4 linked regions of the Neodiprion lecontei genome follow. The protein of the gene in region 2 purifies or fractionates together with the protein of the main gene of each other region. This does not show direct contact. Links are inferred from orthologs where the notes say so. Each region holds a gene or a part of one and is shown on either strand. Other genes may lie near its edges. The genes, in order: DDB1- and CUL4-associated factor 7, T-complex protein 1 subunit beta, serine/threonine-protein phosphatase 6 catalytic subunit and viral IAP-associated factor homolog.

Region 1 (4,641 bases), on a different chromosome or scaffold from region 2:
TATACGTGATTCTAATATTGATACTTTCAATAATGTTGTACTTTCGAAAACTTGGTGATCAGGAAATACTTTTTGATCAAATTTATTGTCATTCGGATAATATACCCAATAAAAATAGGAAAAATGATCACGAGTGAACTGTTGACATTAATATAACAACATAATATATTCAACATGACTATTTGATTTATCAAGTTGGTATCGTTCAATATGTAATTTTTTAAGATTGCTCTGTTGTCCATTTTGACCAATAAATAGCAGATTGATTCAACTATTGGATGAAAAAAAATATATTTTCAAGAAAATGTATGAAACAGTTTTCCAAACAAAACAAGTCAGCGTGAACGTTACAAATTGAACGAATCTATTGAAATTGTCACCGTTTGAAGTATCTTGAAATAAAAAAAAAACGGTGTTGAAGTTTCTGTTCGTAATTTCAGGCTCTATTTCTTTTTGCATTTCTAGGAAAATTACTGTATTTGTAAATATAATTTTCTTAAACTTGACTAACTTATCTTAAATGGTCTTAGATTGAATGTGAGCAAGAGTACCTACAACTTCTTTGATGGGACTGTGCTATAAAATTCACGCTATATGTAATATTGATAGTGGAGCATTGCGGCTTATTTTCCTTGTAACAATGTTTCTTCCAAGAAATAATTTCCCAAAACGAGAAAACTTTTAAAACAATTTGAAGCTACATTTGAAAAATGACATCATTGAAAATTCGATAGTGTGATGAAGGCAAGTAAGAACTATTGTGTCATATGTACCTGTGGTTATTTAGCCTAGCGACTGGTGTGCAAGGAACTCGAACATCCAAAATAATTACTTCGCACGCATCCATGGCAACGGTGGCTAAATAATTTGGATCTTGTTTGTTCCAGGCAAGGCGCAACAGTGGCGTATGCTGAGGATCTTCATATATAATTGTAGAATGTTCCAAGTGGCGCAAATCAAACATTCTCACAGACCCGTCAGCTCCTACCGATGCAAACATATCTCTTCCTCCGCCTGCTCGACTGAATGCAATATCATAGACCTCCTTGTCATGAGCAATCAATTGTGTTTTAACGTGACCAGCGACCACACTAATTCTCCCAACTACCTGCCCAGTTTCTAAGCCCCATATTGTGCAAGTTGTATCAATACTTGATGTTCCAACTAAATTTGGATCCACTTCATTCCAGTCGAATGATGTGAGGGGTGCACAAAAATCCGAATTTTTGTTATTATTCAGTACACACTCCAGTCGTGTTTCTGCGTCTATTGCACGCCAAACCCGCAGGTAATCTCCAGATGTGGCCAGCAAATCAGGAAACAGAGCTGCAACAAAATGTGTGTTATATTGAATATACCTATGAAGTTATTGATTTATACGATTGAAATCGGCCACAGGTTTTATCAACTTATTGTGCATGAAATCATTCAAGATTCATTGCAAAGAAACGATTCTTGATGAGGCAGCAAATTTAACAGGTGTGGTTAGTTACAGTAATCGATGCCACAATTTATTGTCTATTTAACATAAGGCTGAGCTTTGAGGTTAAAGTTTATAGCAGTGATGTAAATGGTTCCCGTAACATACAAATTCATAAACAATGGAACATATAAATGTGAGTTTAATACAAATTGTAGACTAGATCTAACTGTGAAAGTCTTAGATGTACAAAGCTGCACTCATGCTTGCAATTGTTTATTGATATAAGTATTTAAGATTAGTTATGGTACTATTAACGATATTTATTAATTTCGCCGAAGATAGCACACTACAGATTGACTCAAACTTGCATACAAAAAACTATCTCATTCAAAAACATGGTTTCGACCAAGCAGAAAATACCAAAAGAACTTCATGCCTCTGAGCATTGACATAAGAGGTTAATAAACTGTTGGCGATAATTCAAACCAAAAAAAAAAGCGAATTCAAATAAAACAAGTTTTGTATCGAAGTCTGACTGTGATAATGACATGCTGTTTTCAACATAATGATCACATGTAATCAATAATTCTTGAAAAAATTCTAGAAGATTACATCAATGAAAAACAAAAGATGACCAGTTTGTTCAGCTTTAAACTGAGTTATTTACTTTCAACAGTATTATACAATAAAGTGAGCTCGTTGTTTTACTTTTTGAGGATACAGTTGGTATAAGTGAGCTACGTACACTTGGCGTCAGGTATCCACATTATTTTGGTCGTTGGATAGGGATGATCGAAGGTACTTTTGGCAGTAAACTCGGAAGTTTCCTCATCGAGCGAAACAATCTGTACTTTGTTGTTATATTCTTCAACGAAGCTGCCTAATGCTAGACGAAATCTTTTGTCGGGGCGCACCGACCAGTTCATACTGTAAAGTGGCCACGGTGCTTCATATTTGTAAATTTCTTTTCGCTTTGGTGGAACACTATGTAGAGCCATTTTTTACCAACAATTGTTGAACTATTCAGTTCAAGTATTTACAGCATTAAAGCAATTTCTGCTTATTGTTTTTCTTCTCACAGAATAGCCAAGACCGAAATTCGGATCTTAGAATGCTACCATTCTATGGACCGGAGAGGATTTAAATTTGCGACTATGTTACTCAACTTTCAATCATTGTTGACATTTTATACACAAGAGTAATACAAGATTGAAATCTTCGAAATCACTAAACTATGTGACGATAAAATGTGAATGTTCGTTCATTTAAAACTCGTCCTTATGCACATTTGTTCGGAATTTTTTGTAAACACAATGGCAATCATAAAGTAAACACAATCGTATAGATCATCGACTGTAGCAGTTCACTAAGTCACAAATAACGTTCCGACTGTTCAGCTCCAGAAGTACAAATACTTAGACACTGACCCCTTCGATATTCCTAGTAGTTTTTTTACGACCCACCAACACGGGTCGAATTTTCATGGGCAGCAAAATGCTTCTACAGTATTTGCTGTCGAAATTTTCACTTTATTGTAAGTATGCGAATAAAGCAAGGAAGCGCTACTTAAACTCGGAGCAAACCTCTATCCGTGAGCGCTGAAACCGGACTACCGTCCCGTCCCACTCAGGCACGCTACTCGCTCGCTTTGCGCTTCTGGTTCTGCGCATGCGCGCTGCTCGCTTACTTCCCCCACTCTCTCCCGTCTGGCACGCGTGGTGCGGAGACTACCCCACAGTACAAAAATAATGGCGCGCAGCGTCTAAATAACGTTCACTATACTGCACATATGCATGGCGACAGAATTTCTACGCTCACCATGTCATATAATTTTGAAAAGGTCGTTTATATTAGATCGCCATATCAATCGCTAACATACCAGCTGAAGGTGATTTCGTTTACTACTAGGGTAAGATCTATGGCATATATGAAAACTAGCTTTACTAAGATGATTTATTGACTAAGGTAAGTGTACCAATTATCGACACGTCTAGACCCAATGATTCATCCATTTATTCTTCTAAATTATAAATTGAAGGCACACATTGCAAATTTCTCGATGACTAAAACCAATTCCTAGAAGGTTAGACACTACAAATTTATTTTTAATAATTTTATAACTGAGGATTAAGCATATGCAACCAAAAAAGGTAAATAATTGGGCCAGGGTCAATAACTGGGAAGGCTGGCAGGTTTTGTGCAAAAATTAAATCTATCACAAATATTATTAGTTAAGAATTACCATTTTCAATTGTAAGCCCGACTTTTCAAGCGACAGGTATGCGAAAGCAAGATCCACGTTTATCATTGTAAATTACGAAGTATCTGTTAATCAGCATAAATTTAATCAAGTCCACACGTAAATGATGTGGGCAAACGTATAAAAGAAAAGGAAAAATTAATAAAAGTAAAATATATAGTTAGCCACATCGGATATCGCTCTAGCGCGCTACCCGGTGCGCCACGGACTGCGTTGTCGGATGGTGACCGTTTAGTGTATATAACACGCTCGTAGTATTTCGAAATTGATTTTCTCAAAAACTATAGACTTTGAAATCGAACGTCTTTGGGGAATTGTTATTCAAGTCCTCACTGCTCAGTATCATAAGTATGAAAAATATGAAAAATGTCATTAGTGTAGCGTTCCCTTGTTAGAGCATATATACTAAGAGGGTGGTTACAGAGATGATAGCCGACATATACCTCTCTCTGTCACTCCTCCGCTACACTTTCTGTACACGCGAAGCTATCTCCAGTAGTACATGCTCTAAGGTGACTCCTCGCCCCTAAGAACATATGCTTCAGTGTTGGTTATGTATGTGATTCTAGCCACTATTCCACGTGCTGTCATTACTTCTCGATTCATCATTGACAATAAATTAAAATAATCATTGTGAAATGGGTAAAGCGAAGAAAATAAAGGTTTCGAAGCGAGATCGTCAGGATGTTAAAATTGGCTTAGCAGAACTGATAAACAGCGAAAAAGTGGTTAAGCCGAAGAACAGGACAAAAATTAGGCATCGACAAGATGAAGATGAAGAAGTATGTGTAATTCATCACAAATAAAAGTGGTTTTTTCATAATATCAGTCTCTGAAATTGAGTCGAACAAAAATTATCCCAGTTTTTCATGAGGTCGAAGTTCGTCACGTTAATTTAATGACGCAATTTTACAAAACATTTCCGGACTTTAGAATTTACATCTCAAATTATGTAAAC
Region 2 (5,823 bases):
ACCCCGGGCCCCGTCTAGACCGGGGAAAACGAAGGGGGACTCGGGCCTACGACGATGAGCCCCCGGCGCCAGGTGCCACTCTCGGTGTGCCTCGCTGTGCCTCGGGGAGGGACGACCCCCGCCCCTTGCATTTAAAGAGTCACCCGCCAATGCCGACGTCTCGATACATCTGCGCCCGCACACTTCAACTTTAAAGCTGCACGCGTGCCATGATCGTGTACTAAATGCGGGCTACGTGGTGAAGCCTATTAAACGCTGCGACAACTAACGATAAAATTAACGAATTCTCGATCAAAGGATCAGGTAATCAGTCGACTTTCAATTACGCTACGTTTTCATTTTGGGACCGTTTCAGCCTGTCCAGTTATTCCTGTGACTTTTTTTCACTTATGCATACTTTGGATTCTCTTTGTTCAGGTTTCTGCCGAGTAGATTTGGACGTTTCTACTTTTCCCGGCCTACCCTTGCCTTGACTCGCACCCTTACTCGGTTTCGCTGGCTCTTGTTACTCTGACTTAAAAACGGGTTTTGTAACTTCGGGTGCTTGGAACAGAGTTGCGGAACCGTTTGAAGAAAATATTTTTCAATTACCTTCCAGCGCAAAACCTGTATTACATACAGTCCAAATGGGAAGTATACAGTTTCTGATCATTCAAAATTCTGCAGATATTAAAAATTATTGAAATTTCAAGCGGCATGTGCCAGACCATCCAAATGCAATCCAACTCGAAAACTGAATAATCTTTCAAACATTCAATCTGTGGTCGTTTGTGTCAATGAAATCTCAGAAACACATTTGAAAATAGGGAAAAATAAATTCAAATAAAAAAATGAATTCATCTATAGGAACGTGATTTAAACCGAAAGTCTGTACTCGACAAACATACACATACGCATATCCTCGACCCGCCTATCGTCTAACTGAAGCTATTGTCGACGCTACCGGAGTTAGGGCGAGCAAGGTGACGAGGGGAGAGAAGTAGACAGCTGCGAGGGACCGTTACGCTGTGAACGCGCAACCTGCGCACCCCGCAGACAACACCAATTTGGGGTGCGAAATACATACATTAGAAGAAGGGGGATGCAGGGACGCGAACGTCCCGAAGCCAACGATAAGGGGAGATAAAATGGAAGTTTGAGTGAAAAAATCCGGACCAATCCAAGCAGGAATTTATTTGCAGTTAATTTAACAAGTGCGTAAGACGGGGTTTTACGGTATGAAGGTAACGTACGTGGTGCAAGCATTCTGTATATACAAAAAACTTGACACTGGTACGGCATTTATACGTATAAACATGCTCAATGCGTTTATAATCATATCAATAGCTATGTTATACTGATGAGTCAGCTGAAACGCGCCGCTCTGGAATTCTAAAACAGTTTTGTGTGGTAACCAAGCCAGCTTCGTATATCCTTTGCATTCTTCTTGCGCATTCCTGCAATATGACTTCGAATGAGTCAAGCACGCGGGCATTAGCCATGAATAGTTCTCGTCGACCTCACCAATACCAGATGTTACTACTGACAGCTACTGAACTCTAACAGAGTCCAGCATTGAATTTCTACGCCTGCAATTACTATTAAAATATCGTCGCATGTATGACCAGTTGCTAACAATTAGGTTCACGAACAAGGTAAATTGCTTGCAACAAGGTCTTCGACATTCGCCTACGATCAGGCGTAACGTCATAAGTTGCCTATGATCAGGAGTAAAATGGAAAACATTGGACGTCCGTAAAGAAAGAAATTCAGGATTTTTTACGTAGGGAAAAAAACCAAAATTGCGGAAGAAACATGTTTTTGAGTCTGTTAAATTGTTCCATTCGCAATTGAAGGCATTATTTTACTCAATTCAGATGTGGGACGACGTCCTACGATGCAGAATGACCATAATTGGTCTTGAAATTGGAAAGATGGAATCAAGTCAATATGAGTGGTGGTATCTAGCGGTCGGAAGAATCACTTGGGGCTCACAGATCTCGCGATTGGTCGCGAGAGCTGCGCGAAGGCAAGGCTTCTAGTTGTTTCTGCACGGTGCGATTCGTCGGCCCTTCGTTGTTCCAAGATCAGCATCATTCAACATCACGGCGCCCGACATCGAAGCGGTGATTTCTGAATTTGGTGTTTAGTACGCGATAACGAACAATTAACGATGGTCAGTACTGCATTTAGCTAACTAATAAACTAGCCTAAGTCTCGTTCGAATCTCGTTCCTCGTTACCCCCGGATATAAAATCCTCAAAATCCAAACCCAACGATGGGCGAAGTCGATCCTCCCACGACTGACTGTCCGGTGTCCGCATCAAAATGATGGCGAATCGCGTGACACGAAATGCACGTGTCTCGAGCATCACAGGATTGATACAGGAATTCGGAGACGTTGTCTTCGACGATATGATCGCGTGGTATTGAGCTGCACCGCGGACTTCATTAGGCACACCCTGAATCTCCGTGTCTCGCCTTTGCTTGTCTACTACGGCAACCTAACCTCTCCTGCACATTATGAATCCGGCGGATGATATTCTTTTTAACAAAAATATGAGTGAGCAAACATTTTTTTAGGTGTCACTTAATCCTGTCAGGATATTAAAGAATGAGGCGGAAGAGGAGAAGGCAGAAATAGCACGGCTGAGTTCTTTTGTTGGAGCCATCGCTATTGGCGAACTGGTCAAATCCACTCTAGGCCCTAAAGGCATGGACAAGATTCTTGTCGCTCATGGACGATCAGCTGGTCAAGTTCAGGTTACCAATGACGGGGCCACTATCCTCAAGAGTGTCGGTGTTGATAACCCTGCAGCAAAAATACTTGTGGACATGAGCCGAGTGCAGGATGACGAAGTTGGCGACGGCACAACTTCTGTAACAGTATTGGGTTTGTTATTCATTTATTTGTCTATTGAGTTCAATCAATTGTTTTGAAGACAGCATTAATAGTTTGCAATCCATCACAAATTAAATTGTTTTTTTGTTTTTCTGAAACCTAACAGCGGCTGAATTGCTAAAGGAAGCAGAAAAGTTGATAGATCAGAAGATTCATCCGCAGACAATAATTGCTGGCTGGCGTAGCGCTACTACGGTTGCCAGGGAGGCACTACATAACACGGCGACAGATAATTCAGCGGATCCTGAGACTTTCCGCAAAGATCTTATGAACATTGCACGAACAACGCTTAGTTCAAAGATTCTGTCTCAGCATAAAGAACACTTTAGCAAGCTGGCTGTTGATGCTGTACTGCGTCTCAAAGGCTCAGGCAACTTATCTGCTATACAAATAATAAAAAAACGGGGTGCCACTCTGGCTGATTCATTCCTTGATGAAGGTTTCCTTCTCGATAAAAAACCTGGAGTTCATCAGCCCCAGCGTATCACCGATGCTCGTATTCTGATTGCCAATACCCCCATGGATACTGATAAAATCAAGGTATAAATTAAAATAAAACAATTTTAATTGACTGGGCATTCTTCGAAACTTCTGTTCCAGTTCTATATAAATTGAATATCTTGAATGTAGTAGCTATGCTTGTCACAGCATTTTTTATTGAAATAACACGATACACTGTACTGATACGTGTGATTTCGTGTTTATTTGCATTTTTATTAATTTATTAATTATCTTTCAGGTCTTCGGTTCAAGGGTACGTGTCGATTCGATGGCAAAGATTGCAGAGCTAGAGACTGCAGAAAAGGAGAAGATGAAGGTATTGAAATAACGTCAACATTCGCATTTTCACGTATAAGTTTACTTAATTATTCGCAAAAATATGAGGCTTACGTGTAATGGCCAGAACTAGACGATTCCGTACCAACTAATCAACTTTATATCCTCTGAAATGATGAATTGCTTCCCAACCAGGATAAAGTTGACAAAATAGTGAAGCATGGCTGCAATGTCTTCATAAACAGGCAGTTGATCTACAACTATCCAGAACAGTTATTCGCTGACGCTGGTTTGATGGCCATTGAGCATGCAGATTTTGATGGTATCGAAAGACTCGCCCTTGTAACTGGAGGAGATATAGTCAGTACCTTCGATCATCCCGAACTGGTCAAACTTGGCAAATGTGATTTAATAGAGCAGGTGTGTCTCTAGATCTTGGATACTATAAGTATGCCTTGCAACCTATTTAATTCAGAAAATTGTATCAACAATTCTGATCATCGTTTGAATCACTACAGGTTATGATTGGAGAAGACTCTCTTCTTCGTTTTTCGGGTGTAGCTCTCGGTGAAGCTTGCACCGTTGTCATCAGAGGCGCTACTCAACAAATCCTAGATGAAGCTGAGCGTTCATTACACGACGCTCTCTGCGTACTGGCAGCTACAGTACGCGAGTCGCGTATCGTATTTGGAGGAGGTAAAAAATTTCTCATGTTTTACCAAAACGCCGGTGCAAAAATAATTTGGTTGCTGCGTTGAATACTCGGATTTTATTCAAAATGTTACGCAAACAAATGGGAGTGCGCGCTCCACAATTTAGTAAGAGCACACAACAGTTTTTTCCTTGTAATCCTAAGCCTTATAAAAATCCTAACAGGTTGCAGCGAAATGGCTATGGCTTGTGCAGTGATGAAAGCTGCCACTGCTACCCCTGGAAAAGAGGCTGTTGCCATGGAAGCGTACGCTAGAGCTCTTCAGCAGTTACCTATAGTAATTGCAGACAACGCGGGTTACGACTCAGCTCAGCTAATCAGCGAGCTCAGAGCCGCGCATAATTCGGGAGCCTCAACAATGGGACTTGGTTAGTATTGAATTTCAAGGCCGAATCCTCAGAATCGATATTCACAGGATAACTATAATGTTTCGTATTTCCTACTACAGATATGGAGGAGGGTAAAATCGGCTGCATGAAAAAACTCGGAATCACAGAGTCGTGGGCTGTGAAGCGACAAGTCGTCCTGAGTGCGTCTGAAGCCGCCGAAATGATACTCCGAGTTGACAACATTCTTAAGGCAGCACCGCGAAAACGCGTCCAGGACCGTGGTCACTGTTAAACGGGGCGCGCTTTCCGTTTCAATTCTTTGTAATTTCATTAATTGTCCATTAAATTGAACTGCGCTTCTCCGCATCATAGGTGACGACTAAAACGCGTAACACGCTTATTTAACCGAACACAACTACACGCATTTGTAAACCGGCGACGTGAATCGTCGCCGATTATTATCATTATAATTTTACTTATTAACGAAACACTTCTATGTTCGATATATCGAACATAACAATAAATTCGTTTTCATGTATGTATATGTATAGCGAAATATGTATACGTACATGTATATCGTTTTGTACCTAATATTTTCTTATTCAACAAATCCATATTCATACAAACCTAGAAAATTACAATTGGGAAAGTTGATTCGAAACCCGAAACTCGCAATGAAACATTTGCTACTCAAGTGGGCACAATTACCTAAAAGGGTGAAAAATTGTACCAAATTTCATGTGTGACATGATTAAAATTAATTTACGGTTTTACCATTATACTGATCCGTAGGTTTCGAAAAATGATTACATAATCATTATTCACATATGAACAGTAGTGCTCAAAATACGTTGGATTAGAGTTGATCAGACTGCAGAATAATAAAAATTGAGCGGTCTCTTGGAAAACGAAGAATCCCGGGCTCACAGAGTCGAAGTTCGACAAGTCGTTTGCTGATATAATCGCCGAGTCGATGGACTGTTGGCGCGCTGCGATCGGAGATGAGGAAACTGTCGAGCAACAGTAAAGAGACGGTGGATAACATTGGCAGCGAAGGTGCCAAAGATAGAATCACGGTAGAATATAAATCATCGCTGGCGTTCGCGTACGCACGATACACGAGC
Region 3 (5,568 bases), on a different chromosome or scaffold from region 2:
TTGAGAACTGACATGATTTTGTAACAAAGAACACGCATTACGTGCACGATATAAATTCTATATGATCTGCTCGGAGCAGATCTACTCCGTCGATTTGATAAAATTTGAAATTGTATATTGGTTTGATTTGGCAGCTAGTGCCATTTTATACTATAATTCTTTCGTTTGTGAGTTCAGTAGGAGTATCATAAATTAGTGACAAAGAGTGCCAGAATTCAGGTTTGTTACATACAGCAACAGCAACAGCAGCAGCTGGTGAGTTAATACTATCCATGTATTTTCATTATGCATTATTATATTACACAAACGCTTATTAATTTAGAGGCACATTGCTAAGGGTCTCAGTTTAAAAAATTGCTCCCTACGTTAATAAACTTATGATAATCTACCTATCAATTATTTAATACAACAATAATTTGGCATATGAATACATGATATGGAAACTGTACACTCATACTTGTTATTCGTTTCTTTTTATTTGGCAAAGTGGTATCTCTGCTTCAACTGTATCAAGATGGTCACGGAAAGGACTGAACTAGCTGTATACTACGTTCAACTTCGTACAGTTTATGGTTACCATCGTTCCTAAAGTAATGTGTCTTTTTTTTTTTTATGAGTATCAGTTATTGCGATCCACGGAATTTAAACATTTATAAAACATTTATGTATTGATATCAATAAGCCATCATATAATTTACGAAATGCAAGGAATTGGTTATCGATAAAATATTGCCATGTTTCGTACAAAAATGTTGCAATGCTTTTTTTATCATCAAGTAAAATGGTATGTGCTAAACTTTTACCGGACCATCCGTGATCATACTGTTTTATTTTTATTGTACAATTATTCAAGATAAAGATACAATATTAGCATTAGCAATAATAGTCGGTACGAAGCTCGTTAGAACAGAATCAAGTTATTAATATCTTCGGGAAGACCCTAACGATACGACATTGGCTTATGCATTCTTGAAACCTGAATTCTAGACACAGTAAACTGTAATGTCGAAGAAGCATTCACTGTTCCCAGAGCCCACTTCTTGTCGGAATGTTTGAATAATAATATTTTCTATGTTATTTCCCTTTACATCACTGGACCAATGACATTTCGTGTATTTATAAGTTACTTAAAAGCTCTCAGGCGACCAAACATGTCCAACTTGCTGCTCTGAGGTGCGAATGCTCTACAGAATGTACACAGTAGGCAGCAAAAGCATCTAGACCATAGAATGTCGTTGTTGAATTTTTACAGAAGCTCTTTTAAGTAAACAGATCAGGCTGATGCAATGGCAGAACCTTTTTATATCATTATATTTCTCAGTATAGTTTACCACAGACAACTTTCTAGCGTATAAAATTTTTTTAAAAAACAAGGTCATAAATTCCTTTACATATAATTTTACTTGAACAATAAAGAAGGGCACAATCATTGTGCCGGAAATATATCTTGATACGGAAAAAAAAGAAAACAAAAACTACGAATTTCATGATAAACTGATGTATAAAAAAACCTCCCAAATTATGATATACTACAAGAACATTCGTTCATGCTGTCAAAATACCAGCCCAATTCATTGACAAAGGAGCAGTCATGTATCTCCGTGAGGCCTAGATCCCGACGCCGCTCCTCTGCATCGAGACAGATGGAGCGCCGAGTTAGATCACAAAAAGTAAGGTGTTGTCGTAAGTGGGGGAATCACTCTTTCGGCATCTGGCACTGCCTGGAATAACACCGCATTTCTCTGGTCCACCGTTGTGAACTGTAGAATACTGGCTATGTTGCCACATCGATAACAATAGTTTGGCGCCGACCAAACTGTCACCAACTTATCATTGAACATGTATCTATACCCTACAAAGGTAAATGTTATATTTATTTACAAAATATGAATAATACTTAACGATTTAAAGAATATTTCGATCCTTTAGCATCAAGTTATTGCCGTACGTGCATTTGTGTTTGCTATACCAAGTTGAAATCTATAGTTTTCAACTTTAGTGAATTCTGGCGACTTCATTGGCAATGAGATATTGCATTTGGTAAATAAATTTCAAATGTCTTGATACGAAATTATTGACTAGTTTCTTTCGACAGTAACAATATGCTTACGATTAGTTGAAGAAGCAAAGAAAAATAATATATTGGATAAACAAAATAATAACCTAACTATTATTACCGCAAGGGCTTACCTTCGTGAACTAACTGATGTGCTCTACATATGAGTTGAAGATCATTTATACCCATAAATTCATGAGTAACTTTACTTCCGAATAGCCATCCGGCTCCTCGTGGGCTTACTGTCCAGGTATCGACATCTTCTGGGTCGGACCACACTAGATCACAGAAAGCACCTGCAAGTAAATAAAGAATGAGAAAATATCAATCGAGTTGGCCACATACGAAGTTGAAACTGACAGTCAAATTTGGCAGGCAATCGAACCAAAACTTTTCTTATATAGAGGAAAGCAGTACACTTTTGTGTTTATAAATTTATTTAAATGTTGGCATTCCATGAGCTTTGACAAGATTTCGGCAACGAACTTCACCCACCAGTTTCAAAAGTGCAAAGCTGAGTAACTTAATGCTTACTGGAAGTTTTCAGGATAGCGTTCCTAATCATTACATAATATTTTTGATGGATATAATATTTACTCAAATTGTTATACGATAGACTTGATTTATAGTTGTTCATACCTTTATGTGGGATTTCTTGATTTCTTTCAATTGTCCTAATTTGATCTAGAGTCCTAATAGCTGGTGACAAACCACCATGAACACAGAGCACTTGTTCGTCAATTAACTAGAAGAAAAAATTTCGTTGAAATAAATTATTACGTATCTAGTATTTTCAGTTTTTACTACTTTTGTACTGAAAATCATGGTGCATTAATGTATAAATATACTCACAGCAGCTACTGTAAGAAGATCGAATACTCTGCAGCAGTACTTCCACGCATTTGCATTTCCATACTTATTGTGACACTCATCTGTGAAGGAAAGAGAATTCTGGAGTCAAATTCCAAAAAAGTTTGGGGGCAGGCAACCTGAATAACTTATAAAGCTGACATTTAACTCCCATGCTCGTCAAACTAAATTTTGCATGTAAACATTATGTGATTTCCTTCCAGTAGCGAAAGAAGCGTAAGGCTTGAAAGAAAAGCAAATCAAACAGATACTAAAACGAAAATCAACCGCATGCTCGCAGCGTGAAAACTTGCTAATTATATTTTGGGCTTCAGATCCATCCTAACGTATAGCCAAAGCTCTGAGATTACTGGATCCTACAATGGTAAATAGAAGAGCACATGGTTACCGTAAAATCCATAAACTTGTGTGATTTGGCGCGATTCATGATTTCCTCGTAATAGCGTTATCCTGTCTGACCATTTGGCCTTTAGTGTTAGCAGACGGGTAAATGTTTCTAAGCTGTAATATCCTCTATCGACAAAATCTCCCATAAATATGTAATTTGTATCAGGTACTGGGCCTCCGCTCCGAAACAACTCCTCCAGGTCGTAGAACTGACATGAAAGACGCACAAATATTATGGGATATGCATCAACAAGTACTGCCCTAAAGTTTTGAGGTTATATTGGGTCGCAGTAGCTCACCTGTCCGTGAATATCACCGCATACGGTTACTGGAGTCGATACTGGCTGGATATTGGATTCTTCGAGGAGCAAATCGCAAACCATGTCACACAATTTCTGTATAAACAGGTAAAAGTACAAGTTAAATTATTCAAAGATAATACTTCGGGAAATGTAACCTAAAATATTTTCATGAAAATTGGTATTTCGAAAGTACGGCGAGAGATTATACGAGCAGTAAATATTTATTTATCGTCAATGAAATGCGCTCATTACCTTGAGGTCATTTTCTGGTAGGTATTTGCACTCTTTTGCAATATCAATCCATTTATCGATGTCTGACATTTTGGATTCGTAATGTCGCGGAAATAGCGGGTCTGCCCTGTCACCTATCTGTGGAACAGGGTACTTGTGACTGGCTTATCGCTATATATTCCGGAAGAAAGAGCGCGCTGCTTAAAAAATATCATATTTATTAATTAAAAATTTCACCGACTCCGGGTAATTTTGTGGATAACTGTTTGATTGAAAAACTGTATAAAACGTGTCTTTTAACGCTGGTAAATACCCCTGTCAACGAAACGCTATTCACTACGTCGTTATCTGTATAGATTTTCTTTCCGTTTCTAAAACTGGGTCAGAAACTCGGCGGCACTGCGCAAGCTTCGATTATCGATTATAACGTTAACGTCCAGAATCTTGATGCTGGATCTCATTTGCGTGATCGCGGCGTAGGGCACTCGCAGTGTTGCTGTTCTGTCCGTTTTCTTACGGAACTTTGCTGAAACGCGCGTTTCTCGCTCGCAGAATCGGGCTCCGGGTATTAAAAATGCGGTGAAAACACTCGGGTTCGGAGTTCGAATCGGCTCAAGGAATATCGTGGGCCCAGCCATTTTGCTCTATCGAGAGAGAGACGAGCAGTGTGAGAGACAGTTCTGACCGCTCTACTGCTACCCTGTCGGACGGAGGTGGTGGTCGCGGCTCCGTGCTGATACGCTTTTATTCTGTTTTCCAGTGTCGTTGAATAGCTCTTGTTGCTCGAGGAAGTGCCGACGATAACTTAAAATTAACCAAAATGTCAGGCAATACGGGAATGGAACAGTTGATACCAATTGTAAATAAGCTTCAAGATGCGTTCACTCAGCTCGGAGTGCACATGCAACTCGACCTGCCACAGATCGCTGTTGTGGGCGGACAAAGTGCTGGCAAGAGTTCCGTTCTGGAAAATTTTGTCGGCAGGTAAGTTCGATCCTTCCATCCATCAACGCCCCGAAATTATCGACGAATCCATGCTAATTTTTTTTATCGTTATTCTTAACCTATTTGCTCCGATACAACGCAAGGCGTGGCAAATTACCAAGCCGACCTTAAACGTCCCGTCAATATAATAATACCGTCGATGCTGGGAATTAACGATACGTCAACGCGTTTGACAGTTGGGAAATTTCAAACGTACGGGTCGCCAGGGTCAATAACGAAATTCCCCGGTCGCCCACTCGCCTCGAGTGACACCCTGTATCAAGTTCCTTCGCGAATATTTAGTCCAGACTCTAATTCTCTATTCTAAAGTCTCAATCGTCCCGATGATCTAACAATTGATAATATGAGTCAGCCTGTTTTCACGCTATCTTTCACCCGTTATTCCAAATGAAAGTTGGCTTGAGAAACACGCGACTTTTGTACGGTAACAAAAGAAAAAGAGCTAGATGTAAAAATGGCAAACAATTGAACAAATAAACGACATGCGACACCGATGAAGAAAGATCCAACCTCAAGACCACTTTCAAATTGTATATTGATTGGAAAAAAATTAGACTCAACAGTGCTGACATGTGCAGAAAAATAAATCTACAAAAAGAAAAAAATTTTCTTGGGTCTCTTTTCCGAATTTTATCTCAGTGCCCAAATTTGGTTACAATTTTTACGATTTTCCACGATATATTATCCATGCCATAAGATTTCTTGAAATTTTTTGCT
Region 4 (4,957 bases), on a different chromosome or scaffold from region 2:
CTCCGAATGCACAAATGGCATTGTCGAGTGCTATATAATAATTGGATATAATCGTGTTAGTTAATTATGGTGTTAATATGATAGTGATATATAGTAACGTATAATAATATTATAGCTCTTTGTAGTGCGAAGATCTCGTAACATGGTTTTTAAGCTTTGGTTAGTGAATGTCATAGTTATTTCCATCTAGGGATATTCCAAATAGTTAGACAATTGTTTTAATTCCTTATGGTTACAAGATTCTCGTACTTCGAGTTTGGTTAGTTGATAAAAGTAACATGCAGTAATAATAGTCGATAAAACATACGGACGTTCCGGTCGGATGTTACAGACAGTTCGCAAACTGTCGCAAATACTGGTAGCGCACACGGAACGGAATGTCCGGAACGCCTCTGATCGGGGCTTGAAAAGTCACTGAATTCCGGGTTCGTGGAGACGGAATAAATTCCGGACTATGGGACGGCGGCTTAACGCAACACAGTGGGTGCTTTCCATTTACCGACTCTAGTCGACTTGTGTCGCTATTTCTGGTGTATTCCTTTGCCCAGATTGGCCGGTTACATCAGAAATAGCGACACAAGTCGATCTGAGTCAGTAAATGGAAGGCACCCAGTATGAATCATCAAACTCATACGCATTCCGAAGGCCACACCACGACAACCCTATAGACCTGCTTTAGCTAGTTACTCGAGTCGACGGAAGCTTAGAACATATACTGTATATGCTCTAAGGACGAAAGAAGCGTAGTGTACCACAAAAAACTAGAGTAAGGGATTAGAAGAACATAGCTACCGGTCCCTATAAATAAGGGCACCACGCGTCAAAACGCTCTTTCGGATCGTGCCCCTAGACTTGACATCCTGTTTTCGAGTCAAGTCTCTTGGCGCAATCCTTATGCTTTCTTACATTTCAAATTCCTTTATCACCAGTATAAAATATTCACTTTCTAAAACGCTCTGTCGGCTTATACCACAGATCCCACCTGTAGTGTAGATTCCTGCTCTACCTAGTCTTGCGGTACCCAGTCATTTGCACACTACGCTACCCGTTCAAAAGCTGTCTCAGAAATTCAGAACCAATATTCTTTTTCTCGCAATTAAATATTCCATTTTTTAGAACTTAGTTCTGGCCGATCAAATAACGCTTTTGCCCGTCTTGACTCTGAAATAATTATTATTCAACCTTTAGTGCCCTGTAAACGGTCTATTGAGAAAATAAACACCTTTAAATATATTTCAAGTAATTTCAAATAAAATTAGTTGCAATTAAACTCCTATTTCACATTTATTGATCACTTGTTAGGAATAAGAGGCAAAGAGTATCATCTCCGTTTTCTATTTTTAGCCGTCATTATGGAAATTTATGGTTTACTTATCAAGTTATGGAATACTTGTATCGCTTGCGTTTGAATTAATTCAGGCAGTGACCTAACCGAATAAACCACCAAGCTTGATTAAACCCTAAGCAGGGCTATAACTTGAATAATATAAAAAAATATAAACAAATTATCTATATCAATATCGTTCATTTTAAGGAAAAAAATATATAAATTTCATGTGTATGTACGAATAATAAATCTACGAAGGTAATAAATGAAATAAACGTATGTTGTTTAAAGAAACGGTGTTGTTTTTATTGGTTAACCAATTTCGATAATTTTTTCACACCACGATACCACACATGGTTTAACCATTTTTTTTTTTAAAACGCAACAGCGTTTCACGCGTATGTAAGACCGTGAGTATGACGCACGCGCTAATTTTAGGTTATATGCTTCATTACAAATATAATTTCGGTGGCACATTTTCATCCCTACCCCACGTACATCCCTAGATAGCAGCGCTGCGACACGGCTATTTCAAACACTAAAAACTACGGACAACAAGAGAACCACCCACGCCGCTCTGTAGAAAATTGGCTTCGTTGCCAGATCTGTATGTAAGACCGTGCATGCTACGCAAGGTATCCGTGTCATCTATACATATGTATATGCGAGCTTGCGAGCAGTGCGAAGCAGTGCCACCGCGTGGAGTACTGAAGTTTGTTTTTGACGTACTCTTAAAAGAATTCTATAGACAATTGTATTTTCATATTATTAATTATTAATATTCTTACTTTCAATACAAAATGGTAAGTATACAAATTCAAGAATCATAACCCTAGCGATATTTCCATAAGCAAGGGTATTTTTATCCTATCAGTGAGTGTTACCTTATTTGGTGTCATTCTCAAAACAAGAATTGTAAATACTATTCAGAGGTATATACGTGATATCATAGATATTTCACACATGGCCATTTCGCATCACTGCATTTAAACTACTCAAACGTGACAACATCGCATTCATACCAGGCAGTTTTTGGACCTAACGATTGTACGTTCGTCACATAGCAAATGTACATGTTGTGTGTTTGACATGTATGTTTTAAATTCTTTCTAAAAACACTGCCCCATTACATACCTGAAATTAACATGAGATCCTATTACCAAACATAAAAGGTTGATATGTACATGGTATTATTTCTGCTATTCACCTTCTATCTGTACGATTTTAAATGCGTCCTTCGCTTGAAGAATTTTGATTTGGAATGAGATGTATAGTTGCAATTAATTAACATTTCAGCAAGACCCAAACGAAGATACCGAGTGGAATGATGCCTTGAGAAAGCAAGGAATTATTCCTGCAAAAGAAAAGGAGAAAGAAATCACAGAGGATCAAATTGTCGATCTCTTGGAAAGTACAATCGATAAAAAACTTGGCCGAGGTATGTATTATCAGCTACATTTTATACGTCAGTATAAATCACCAGAATGAGTATGTAATAGCGACGTACGTATACCTGTATAGAGGTTATAACTCATGCAGGTTAAGATAGGTAAATTTACATTTAGTAGTTACCAAGTGCACATTCATGGCATTTTAATAGTGATCTTGAGAAACTATCAAAACCAAACTTTTGGACCCTCAGTACTTCCAATTTCCTAGATATGGAGAAAATTCAAAATATTTGTTTCACAATACCTTCTTGACAATTGTCTATTGTCTATAACGATCTCTCTGGGGTGTAGATTGCATGCTTGTAGCACCTACTTAATTCATGCATATACTTTGTTCACAATGTGGCAAGGAGGAAGCATATTACGCCTTACCATCGAAAGCTTGGCTCGCTAGTTCTGTTCAGGATCGCGAGCTTTATCTTTTGGGTACTCTGCTTTTCATAATTTTTCAATCTGGGAGACCAGGTTTCCTGAGAACTTTTTTTTAGGGACCTGCAGTTCGTGACCTGACCAGGTTCTGCTTGAGCAGTTTTATTACTCTGCGGTTTGCAAGTGAATCGTATCGGCGATCTTTTCCGGTTGAAGGGTTGCGTTTATGGGAGTTCCTTTCCACTGAGTTGAGGGAATCCAGTTCCTTGGAAGGCTACACAGGGTCTTTTTAATTACCTGCTAGCCGCTGGGGATGCGTGACAGGGTGCAGTCTAACCCGAATGCTTCATTCTATTTTAACTACTTATTACATTGATTTGAATTTTAAGTTGTGTGGTTATATTTATTTTTATTTTTAATTTTATTTTACATAACCTGACCTTCATCTCTGTACTTTTACTTTGCTTCTCTGTAATCTTATTCTTTATCGCTTTACTTGGGTTTATTCTTTCTCTGTTTCGCTTACTTTGACTGTTTTGGTTTTGTTTTGGCTAGTTTAAGTTCTTAAATTGTATTTTAATTTCTAGAGTAGCATTTTTGGCTTTCTCCTATTTCAGATTTTTTGTTTTTGTAATCGTTTAATTCTGTTAAGACAGATGAATCTAACAATAAATTGTCCAACATTGTCATGGACATTGATAAATATTAATACTAATCCAAACAAAAAAAAAAAAAATAATGGAGCCTGTCAATGACGACTAAAATTTCAAAAATCTTTTACCATTTTTAAGAATTAGTTTTTATTTTGTTTTCTCAAAATTTTCAAAGTGCTCATGCTCAATGGCATTGAGAGGTGACTCTTTGAATTACACATGAGGTATAGGATTTGATGAGATCTATCAACCTGATCTTGGTGGTAGTAAAAAACAGTGATGCGTCATACTTAAAATTAAAAAAAAAATAACGTTTTTTGGCACTTTTTCTGATATCCTGGGTTTTTCTGAAAGAACAGTGTTCCTTGCACCTCTAATTCATAATCATAAAATCGAAACAGCATATGAGTATATATCTTTCAGTTAATATAGATGAATCGTGTTCGAAAATCGGAAAATACTCGTTGTTTCATAAGTTTTTGGAGCTAGTTAGAATTGTCAAATCTGAACTCCAATTTCTCAATCAGAGTCTCTCAAGATATTGAATTTACATGTCTTCAAACTGACATATTCCAAATCCCGTAAAACTTCCGCATTGAGGTACTCAAGTAAGTGCTAATATTTTTTTTGTACTTTTAATGAGTAAAAATCATAGTCAATTGGTAAAACTTTATTTTTTTGTAATTTGTTTAATAATTGCATATAGGTGGGGGTTAAAATATAGAACGTTTACAAAGTAAATGTATCGTAATACTGAATTATCAAGGATGCGAAAATCTCATATGATTTTCAGAATGCAGAAAGTCAAAATATAGAAAATTTGAATCGGAAAGGTCAAAGTATAGAAAGTATAAGTGATATAGAATCAGCATAATAAATAGAAATGTTGTACAATTCTGACAATTCTATGTTTTGGTTTTATGTATTTCATTTTTCTACGTTTGCACTTTTTTATATCTTGAGTTTCTATACGTTCAGGATCTTATAGAGTAGGCGTTTGCGTATTTGGAACTTTTCAGATCTTAATTTACCCCTACCCATTGCGAATGTGTTATTCATTCATATATGCATACAGAGGTGGACTATTCGAAAAACACAATTCTAAGGCACTACAATAATTATTCAGTTTGCAATTCTTATTCCATTGAATTCCATGC

Evidence for each region.
Region 1: the proteins of T-complex protein 1 subunit beta (region 2) and DDB1- and CUL4-associated factor 7 purify together in Homo sapiens (affinity purification with mass spectrometry; 4 studies listed by BioGRID and IntAct, counting the BioPlex papers as one, with this or other methods). This does not show direct contact. The link is inferred for Neodiprion lecontei from reciprocal best matches to the Homo sapiens genes CCT2 and DCAF7.
Region 3: the proteins of T-complex protein 1 subunit beta (region 2) and serine/threonine-protein phosphatase 6 catalytic subunit purify together in Homo sapiens (affinity purification with mass spectrometry; 4 studies listed by BioGRID and IntAct, with this or other methods). This does not show direct contact. The link is inferred for Neodiprion lecontei from reciprocal best matches to the Homo sapiens genes CCT2 and PPP6C.
Region 4: the proteins of T-complex protein 1 subunit beta (region 2) and viral IAP-associated factor homolog purify together in Homo sapiens (co-immunoprecipitation; 3 studies listed by BioGRID and IntAct, with this or other methods). This does not show direct contact. The link is inferred for Neodiprion lecontei from reciprocal best matches to the Homo sapiens genes CCT2 and PDCL3.

The regions. Positions count from the first base shown.
Region 1 is NC_060263.1:25,735,424-25,740,064, reverse strand, and holds the start of DDB1- and CUL4-associated factor 7, read right to left. Parts: upstream 3,027-4,641; 5' UTR 2,422-3,026; coding exon 2,169-2,421; intron 1,327-2,168; coding exon 774-1,326; intron 1-773. Other genes in the region: bystin, read left to right, coding at 4,322-4,465. UniProt on the Homo sapiens protein: Involved in craniofacial development. Acts upstream of the EDN1 pathway and is required for formation of the upper jaw equivalent, the palatoquadrate. The activity required for EDN1 pathway function differs between the first and second arches.
Region 2 is NC_060265.1:2,248,357-2,254,179, forward strand, and holds T-complex protein 1 subunit beta, read left to right. Parts: upstream 1-1,999; 5' UTR 2,000-2,152; coding exon 2,153-2,155; intron 2,156-2,562; coding exon 2,563-2,872; intron 2,873-2,987; coding exon 2,988-3,421; intron 3,422-3,620; coding exon 3,621-3,698; intron 3,699-3,853; coding exon 3,854-4,078; intron 4,079-4,176; coding exon 4,177-4,354; intron 4,355-4,534; coding exon 4,535-4,738; intron 4,739-4,818; coding exon 4,819-4,991; 3' UTR 4,992-5,290; downstream 5,291-5,823. UniProt on the Homo sapiens protein: Component of the chaperonin-containing T-complex (TRiC), a molecular chaperone complex that assists the folding of actin, tubulin and other proteins upon ATP hydrolysis.
Region 3 is NC_060262.1:30,903,466-30,909,033, reverse strand, and holds serine/threonine-protein phosphatase 6 catalytic subunit, read right to left. Parts: upstream 4,010-5,568; 5' UTR 3,937-4,009; coding exon 3,868-3,936; intron 3,721-3,867; coding exon of another isoform or gene 3,709-3,720; coding exon 3,613-3,708; exon of another isoform or gene 3,610-3,612; intron 3,523-3,609; coding exon 3,315-3,522; intron 2,989-3,314; coding exon 2,909-2,988; intron 2,802-2,908; coding exon 2,696-2,801; intron 2,353-2,695; coding exon 2,191-2,352; intron 1,853-2,190; coding exon 1,662-1,852; 3' UTR 506-1,661; downstream 1-505. Other genes in the region: dynamin, read left to right, coding at 4,667-4,830.
Region 4 is NC_060260.1:19,522,184-19,527,140, reverse strand, and holds the start of viral IAP-associated factor homolog, read left to right. Parts: upstream 1-1,950; 5' UTR 1,951-2,127; coding exon 2,128-2,130; intron 2,131-2,623; coding exon 2,624-2,765; intron 2,766-4,957. UniProt on the Homo sapiens protein: Acts as a chaperone for the angiogenic VEGF receptor KDR/VEGFR2, increasing its abundance by inhibiting its ubiquitination and degradation.